Linked DNA regions of Lonchura striata. The protein of the gene in region 2 binds, or shares a complex with, the protein of the main gene of each other region. Links are inferred from orthologs where the notes say so. Each region holds a gene or a part of one and is shown on either strand. Other genes may lie near its edges.

Region 1 (3,904 bases), on a different chromosome or scaffold from region 2:
CACGGAAGGGTGCAGGAAATAAACATTCTCATCAGCCTAACTCTTATTTTAATTTTTGCTAGCACTTCATTTGAACACAGTTCTGTTCAGCTGGCTGCTTCAAAACAATTCCATTTGGGAAATTAAATCACTTCCCAAAAGATGAGGACCTTGGGATTCCATCACAGAAATAAATAATACTGGGAACATGAAGTAGAAGAGGTCCAGAGCACTCGTAATCATCAGTTTGCAGGAGCAAGTAGTCTGGGAGAGAGCAGCTGTGGAGAAACTACAAGATGAAGAAAGGAAAAGGCAACTATAGTACTTGCTCACTGTTATTGATGGAAAATAACGCTGTCTTAGAACAAACTGCTACATGTTGGGATGAGGAGAGGACTGCTGGCTTTACAGAAATCAGTACAAAATCTGTGACTTACTTGAGTTCTTTCATGGCAATGAGCAAGGGGTCTGTCTCTCCTTCCAGCTCCACCATCACAGGGGCACACATCCTAAGAAAAACATCAACAGCCACTTGAGCAAAAACACAGAGAACGAAGAGTTAAACACCTGCTTACCTGTGTCACCTCTACAACAGCCAATGAAGTAGGGGGGTGGGACACTATCCTGGCAAAACTGATTTGCTCTGTTGTGCCCTTGAAGGAGAAAATTCCCCCAGATGGTTACAGACCAAACTTTTACTTCAGTGCTCTTCTTCTCCCATCCCTAGGGGTCTGCCAACCAGCTCAAGCTCAGTGACTGGTCAAATCCACACTCTCCTAGTCGCCCTCTGCTGTATACTTAAACATGTAGAAAAGAATGGTTCTAAAATTAATCCAATTAAAAGGTTGCAATTGCTGTAAAATGAGCAGACCTTCTACAGCTCCAACACATCGTTTACATTCTGACCTGCTCACAGCTCCCAGGCTTCGATCAGGAGAAGAGAAGGGCTGGATTTACAAGGCATTTTACCTCTTGGAAGAAAAAACTCAGCATTTTGCAAAGGATTGTGACTACACCCATGACCTGGACAGTGGTGGCAGAGAAAGCTCATGTTATGTGTGGGTGAGGCCATGGGAGCTGCTGCTTGTCTGGGTTCTGAAAGTAGAAGTTGCTGGTGAAGCAGAACCAAGTGCCAGAGTGGATTAAAGGCCTGGCACAGCCTTTATCTCCCCCCATTCTTCTTGCCTCTCACCAACTGAAAGAACATGCATAACACAGCTTCACAGGCTGTGCAAAGAACAGCTTGCCTGCCTGTGAGCTTCTAAATGATGCACAAGAGAAGCCTCATTGTGAAGGTGGATATAAACAAGATGAAACTCAAACCCTTGCCAATGTCTAACATTCTCTCTCAGAAGGTAGTTTCCCAAAAAGCACACCATTTTAAATATTTATTATTAAAACAAATCTAAAAAGTCAAATGAATTAAGAGCAGCCAGCCTTGACAGCACTTAAAGTAAATTTTAAATGTTATTGTCTATTATAAATAAGGCCTTTTTATTGCAAATACTTCAATAACCTTACAGCTACCCACAATGCAACTGCATTTGGAACAAATTTCAGGTTGGTTTCTTCACTCCCAATTCCTACAGCCCTGAGGTATCAACTGAAGTTATTTTGAAGCATCTCTATCTCAAACATTACCTTTCACAAACCAGTCACGAACTCTCAAGTCCATGCTGACTCTCTGAAGAAAGACAGAAACCAGAACTGTCTTGTCCCATTCCCTAGTAATTTTGCCCGTGATCTAGGAAAACTCATTGTGGCTACTGAATGCTCCCTCTTTGTGCACGCGTAGTACAGTTTCAGGCAAGGAGAGACACACAGACTTCAGGTGCAATAAAGAGTAAGCTTCAGTTTGACCAGAGGGTGACATGCAAGCTCGGCAGTCATGCAAAGGATTCAGAAGACCTGGGAATTTTTAAGGGAAGAGGAAAGCTCTAATCAGTGTAAAAGGAGGCACAGCTGCAGCAGTGCTGGGGACACAGCAGGCAATACTCACGCTATCTGCAGGGCACGAGTGCCCAGGACTCTGGCTCGCTCGTACTTGGTCATGTAGGGGGTCGTGATCCGCTTCTGGTTCGCCTGCTGCCGTTCTCCCGAGGGCAGAATCTCCACGTTCTCCTGTCCCTCCTGGGAGAAACAGACCGCGCCGCTGCTCAGCCGCACCCGCCACCGAGGCCCTGAGGTGTGGGGGGAGCCGCTGAGGCCACCCCAGCCACAGCAGCCGCGCGGCCCTGCGAGCGGCACCCACCTCCTCCGCGTTCTCCAGGTCCTCCAGGCCCTCGTCCTCCTCCACATCGTCGAAGTCATCCCCGTCAAAGCTGCGGGAGAGACACACGCGTCGCACTTGTGGCCGGGCCGCCGCCACCCCGTTCCCTCCCTCCCTCCCTCCCTCCCTCCCTCCCTGCGCCCGCCGCCCCGCTCGCACTTGTCCTCGTTGTCGGACATGTTTCCCGCCGGGCGCTCCGGACCGGCGCTCCCGGGAGCAGCTTCCGGCCGCCGCCGTGACGCTGCCGGAAGTCATCGCGGGCCGTTGCCCTGGCGACCGCCGCCGCTGCCCCGTGCCGCGCGGGCGCCGCCCGTGGCGATGGAGGCCGCAGGGTGCCCGGGCCGCGGCGGGCTCTCGGCGGCGGGCAGGCCGGCCCGCTACAGCACAGGCACCCGGGAGTTAGTGAAAGGTAACGGCGGAGCCCGTCGCCGGTGTTGCCGCCCCGGCTGGAGTCTCCTAAACCCGCATCTTCCCTTTCGGATTGGGGTTGTGAGAGGAGGTGACCCTAGGGCGGGTTCTCCAGCCCGGCTCTGCTGCCTCTTCATCGACGCGTTGTGTTTTTCAGGGATGATGGAGGAGTTGCAGATGACGCATTCCCAGAAGCGATACCTGATGGCCTATGTGAAACGTGAGTGAGGCGCCCTGGCTCTCCTGCCAGTTGCTGTGCTGTGGTGTGGAGCTTTTGCATCTCGGCATTCGCCCAGAGCCTGCTCGGATGGGCAAGTGCTTTAAACCAGCAGCACAGCGGCTGCTGGCACATGGGGACAAGCGGGAGAGCTGTCCCCACGGGTCGCCCAGGAAACAAGGCGTAACGGTGTGACTTGAACCGCAGTCTGTCGTGCCCAGTGACCAGGGTGAGACATCTGGGGCACTGGGGTCTTCGTTTGTGATGCTGCTATAGATCAACAGGTAGATCTGCTGGTAATGGCCCAGAGCCATCCATTCAGAGTCCCTCCTGTCTGATTTGCTGTTATTTTTGGTTCGTCCCCCAGGCGGAGATGCCCTGCCCCTTCAGAGATTCTCCCCATCCAGCAAACAGCCAGTAACTGTTTCCTCCCCAGCAGCCTGTCAGCCACACAGGCTTCCAGCAAGACCGCTTCTCCGACCTGCCGGGGTCTGCCAGGCAGGGGATGCCTACACCCGGGAGAAATTCAAGCCACAGCCCACACGTAAGTCAGCGATCACTGCTAATAAATACATGGTGATGCCTAGAGCCTCTCTTCTCCTTCTGTCCCTCCCCTGCCTCAATCTCAGCAGTGGCAGTGCATCTGAATTGCTGTATCACATCCTCATGCTCTCAGTCTGCAAAGATGTTTCAGAAATGGATCTCTGAGGGAACATCTCCTGTAAGTGCTCGCTGACTTCTGCCTGCCAGCTGGGGGGTGACAGGCGATAGCGACCTGCACAGTCCCTGAGTAAGGATGGGGCACTACGTGATTTTTTAGCACATAAAGGTGAACCACACCTCTGATGTTGGTTTGGTGGGCGCTGTACACCCATGTGGTGCTTGCACACAGTCCAGGGATGGACTGACATTAATGAAACACTTCCTCTGGCACAGTTAGCAGGGAAGCAGTGTGGTCAGGCTCCTCCATGAGGAGACGTGCTGATAATAATGCTTTTTTCCTTTGGCATTCTTAGGAGACTTGGAAAAGG
Region 2 (3,904 bases):
TGCTGCTGGCCCTCACCTTCCCTTGCACCTCACAGCAACAAGCCAGATCTTCACAGCCAGACAAGCGGCTCCCTTTGCCAGCAGGAAGCACCAAGAGATTCAATCCCAAAGCAAGTAGTTACTCACTGCGTTCTGAATGTATGGATGCTGAGGGTAGGAAGAGGCACAGAGCCAGCCATGCATGCTGGTCAGTCACTGCTTGCTCACACAAACCATGTCAGGACTCTGTGGAAAACGAGGCACTTACAGATGTAATGGTTCCGTACTCTTGCCAGGCGTACGAGGTTTTTCAGACTCTCATGTCGGAAAACTTCTCTGCTGAATGTGTCCAACCGTGCATTGGCTACTCTTGCCACCTTTTTTCCTAAAGGGAAGATGAAACGAGATGGACAAATTGCAGCAGGTGGATACCTTATGGTCACAACATGTGCTTACCTCAAACAGGCACTCCCTCCTCACCAAAGGCTGGGAGACACCAATAAAAAGAATTAGCATATACCCAACATGAAAGTCTAACCTGGCAGGAAAACCCAAACACAAAGCGTACATGCACCCCAGAAAGATACAAGAAGTCTCCACACTCAGCTGCTTTTCCAGCTCACTACCCAGTGTCACAACTGAACAGCACTGCAAGCTGCAGTCAACAGCTGCAGAGCTCTGCGGACAGGTATCCAATTTATTTCAGGGACATCCGTGTTTGTCACCCAACATGCTGCACATGGCAGCTACTCATCCATAAAAGTAGGCTCGGAAGAACATGAACCATTGATCAGCACAGCAACATTACATGTGGTTTTGTTTCTGCAAAGTTTGGCTCTAAGCTCCAATCTAAAGCTTGCAAGGAACAAGGCAGTTAGCGCAGGAAAAAAGTACCATTGATATTCTGGATCTCAATGACTCCAGGGGAGAAGCACTTCTGCAACATCTCAGCTGCCTCATCCTCAATAGGCTGCAGGAGAGTAATGTCAGGAAGCAGTCGATAACTGGCTGTGGCCACAGGAGAAAACTTGGCATGATCCTTACCTGTATGAAGAGTTAAGAGTCAAGGATGAGAGCAGGCCTCAGGGAACAAGGATGCTCAGGCCTGAAGTTCCAGGGGAAAAGCCAGTTCTCCACCCTTCCCCATCACACTGCAGTGCCCTACTCCAAACATTCCCGCTGCCCCAGGAGCCACGACTCACCTATACCCTTGACACAGTGCATAAGCACATCTATTTCCTGTCCAGGTCGCAACAGTGCAATGAGGATGTCATCATGAACAGGTCGGAAGTCAGCATCTGGGAAAAGGTCTGTCTGATTCCCCAGGGGCACCCATGTCATGTGTTTACTGTACACTGCAAAGAGAAGCCACAAGCATCAGCCAGCTGCTGTATAGGACTGGAGATAGCAAAAAGAAAGTTTAGCAGAATGGAATCAACTCTCCCTGTGAGCACACAGGGCTGAGAAAACAGCCCAAAACCAAAAAGAAAAAACAGCACCTATTTTTAGGAGCAATCTCACCTTTATGATTGAAATATAGTTCATCAGGATCAGATGATTCCTTGGCAGCCTGAGGGTTTCGTTTGCATTTGATTTTCAGCTGAAACTGCAGAGTATCAATTTCAGTGCCTTCCTGATCTCCTGGGAAGAAGCATATGAAATCACACTTCTGCTCAGTTTACACAACCCTGATTTCCTACTTTGAGAGAAACCTTCAATATTTCTATTCTGTTCAAGATTCTCACCTTGGTTTCTGTACTCAAAGAGCCTAGGGTCAGCTCGGATAGGGATGAGGCCCAACCGATGAGCCAGAATTTCATCCTGCACAATGGATGTGTTGTTGTACACAAACACCTTCTCTACAGCCATCGTTGGCACCTCAAGGAGACAAGAGATCAAGTCAGCTTAAGACAATAGTTGAACTACATGCCAAGAGATTATGCAGCTCAAGTGTCCCTCCTCTCCCACAAATAACTGCCAAGCAGACTATTTTGAGTGGTATTTCTACCAAATCAGGCTATGCAATATACCCGTACACCACATCTATTCCTATCCCCGTCTTTTTAAACAATCAAGAGATGAAGGACAGGAAAAAGGGCTTTGGGGCATCCTGAACCTGTTAGTACTTGGCAGCATCATGTGGCTTCTGTTGGGTTGGCCACGCAGCTGTGTTGAAATGGCTGACCCGCAGACACTACCAAAGCACCCCTAGGACCAGCAGGCGCTATTGCCCATGCTGCTAAAGTCCTAATTCTCTTTGGGCTCCTGGCACCCATGCGGAACGAACGTGTGCTTCTCTTCCAAAGCCCGCAGCTGTCCGCAAGGGCTGACAATGCTGGACATTCCACGCTCCCTGTCAAGCCAGGCTTAGGCCGGCACCACCAGGTGAGCAGAGGTACCTCGGCGAGCAGGATGCGGCGGAAGGCGTTGGCGATGGCGGCGTCGATGCCCACCATGTCGAACTCCAGGGCGTCCTCTTCCTCACGGATCACGTCCACGCGGAACGCCTGTGGGAGCCGCGCACCGCGGGTCAGCCGGCTGCAGGGCCCCGTACCCACGGGCAGCCCCGGCCCGGCGCCGCTCACCCACCTCCTCGAAGCGCCGCTGGTCCCAGGCGTCCTCGTAGCCGGGGTAGTTCCCGGGGAAGTCGGTGGTGTGGACCTGCGGGGAGAGGGCAAGGCGGGGCGGTGAGGGGGTGAGGGGGTGCGGGCGCCGGCCGCCCCGCCCCGTCCCGCCCGCCGGGCTCGCTCACGTTGCGCACGCCGAACTCGCCCAGCACCACGCGGTCCCGCATCTCGTCCGTGCCCCGCCGCGCCGCCATGAGCGCGATGGGCGGCGCTGCTGGCGGTGCTGCTGCGCCGGGAGGCTCCGTCACATCCGCTCCCGCCCATCCGGGCCAGCGCGGCGGGGCCGGGAGCGGCGCCATGGCCGCGCCGGGGGCGGCGGGCGGCGGCAGGAGCGGCGCCCCCGCCGCCGAATGGGGCGGCTTCGAGGACAACATGCAGGTGGGGCCGGGCCGGGGGCGGCGGGGCCGGGCCGGGCCGAGGGGGTGCTGACACCGAGTCTGCCCCGGCGCAGGGTGGTGGCTCCGCTGTCATCGACATGGAGAACATGGACGACACGTCGGGCTCCAGCTTCGAGGACATGGGGGAGATGCACCAGCGCATGAAGGAGGAGGAGGAGGAGGCGGAGGGCGAGGCGGGCGCCGGCGAGGAGGAGGAGGACGGGGAGTTCCTGGGCATGAAGGGGCTGCGGGGGCAGCTGGGCCGGCAGGTCGCTGACCAGGTGAGCGCTGTCCCCCGTCAGCCTCCGGCCCCGGGTCCTGCCTGCCCGCCCGGCCGCTGCCCGCTCCTTCTCTCCGCAGATGTGGCAGGTGGGGAAGAGACAAGCCTCCAGGGCCTTCAGCCTCTACGCCAACATCGACATCCTCCGGCCCTACTTCGATGTGGAGCCCGTCCAAGTGCGAGCCAGGTGGGCTGCGGGGAGGCAGCGGCTCCGAGCCCGCAGCAGTCTGGCTGCCAGGCCCGAGCGAGCGCCAGTTGCCCCCGCAGGAACGCTCACCTATGGGCAGACACATCGTGCCTTGTCCTGCCCGCCTTAGCGAGGTGCTGTGCTTGGGCTGGCAGCCCTGTCACCTGGCATTGCTGCTGAGTGTAGGAGAAGGGACTCTTTTTGTACTTGGCTGCCCTATGTGGCTTCTGTTGGGTTTGCAACACAGCTGTGTCCAACGAAGCAAAGTTTTGTGAGACTTTATGAGGAAACTTGCCTTTCCTTCCTGCTCTTCTGTCAATGATCTCTCATCCCTGAGTGGATCCCTAAATATTTTCATTAAATCTGCCCCTCCTCAGCAAAGTTAACCCACTTGACAGGAAGGTTTTCGTTCTTTAGTGACCTTGACTCACCCTTTAGAAAGAATCCACTGTCC

What was found.
Region 1: POLR1C (region 2) and POLR2F share a complex: the UniProt entries of both Homo sapiens proteins name them as parts of the pol I pre-initiation complex. The link is inferred for Lonchura striata from reciprocal best matches to the Homo sapiens genes POLR1C and POLR2F.

The regions. Positions count from the first base shown.
Region 1 is NC_134607.1:23,581,222-23,585,125, reverse strand, and holds the start of POLR2F (DNA-directed RNA polymerases I, II, and III subunit RPABC2), read right to left. Parts: upstream 2,523-3,904; 5' UTR 2,428-2,522; coding exon 2,408-2,427; intron 2,301-2,407; coding exon 2,231-2,300; intron 2,110-2,230; coding exon 1,979-2,109; intron 489-1,978; coding exon 417-488; intron 1-416. Other genes in the region: C5H22orf23 (UPF0193 protein EVG1), read left to right, coding at 2,567-2,657, 2,814-2,876, 3,241-3,417, 3,890-3,904. UniProt on the Homo sapiens protein: DNA-dependent RNA polymerase catalyzes the transcription of DNA into RNA using the four ribonucleoside triphosphates as substrates.
Region 2 is NC_134605.1:36,012,480-36,016,383, reverse strand, and holds the start of POLR1C (DNA-directed RNA polymerases I and III subunit RPAC1), read right to left. Parts: upstream 2,839-3,904; 5' UTR 2,801-2,838; coding exon 2,732-2,800; intron 2,641-2,731; coding exon 2,569-2,640; intron 2,487-2,568; coding exon 2,379-2,486; intron 1,858-2,378; coding exon 1,725-1,857; intron 1,621-1,724; coding exon 1,501-1,620; intron 1,335-1,500; coding exon 1,182-1,334; intron 1,024-1,181; coding exon 874-1,023; intron 365-873; coding exon 248-364; intron 1-247. Other genes in the region: protein YIPF3, read left to right, coding at 2,904-2,984, 3,058-3,264, 3,344-3,450. UniProt on the Homo sapiens protein: DNA-dependent RNA polymerase catalyzes the transcription of DNA into RNA using the four ribonucleoside triphosphates as substrates.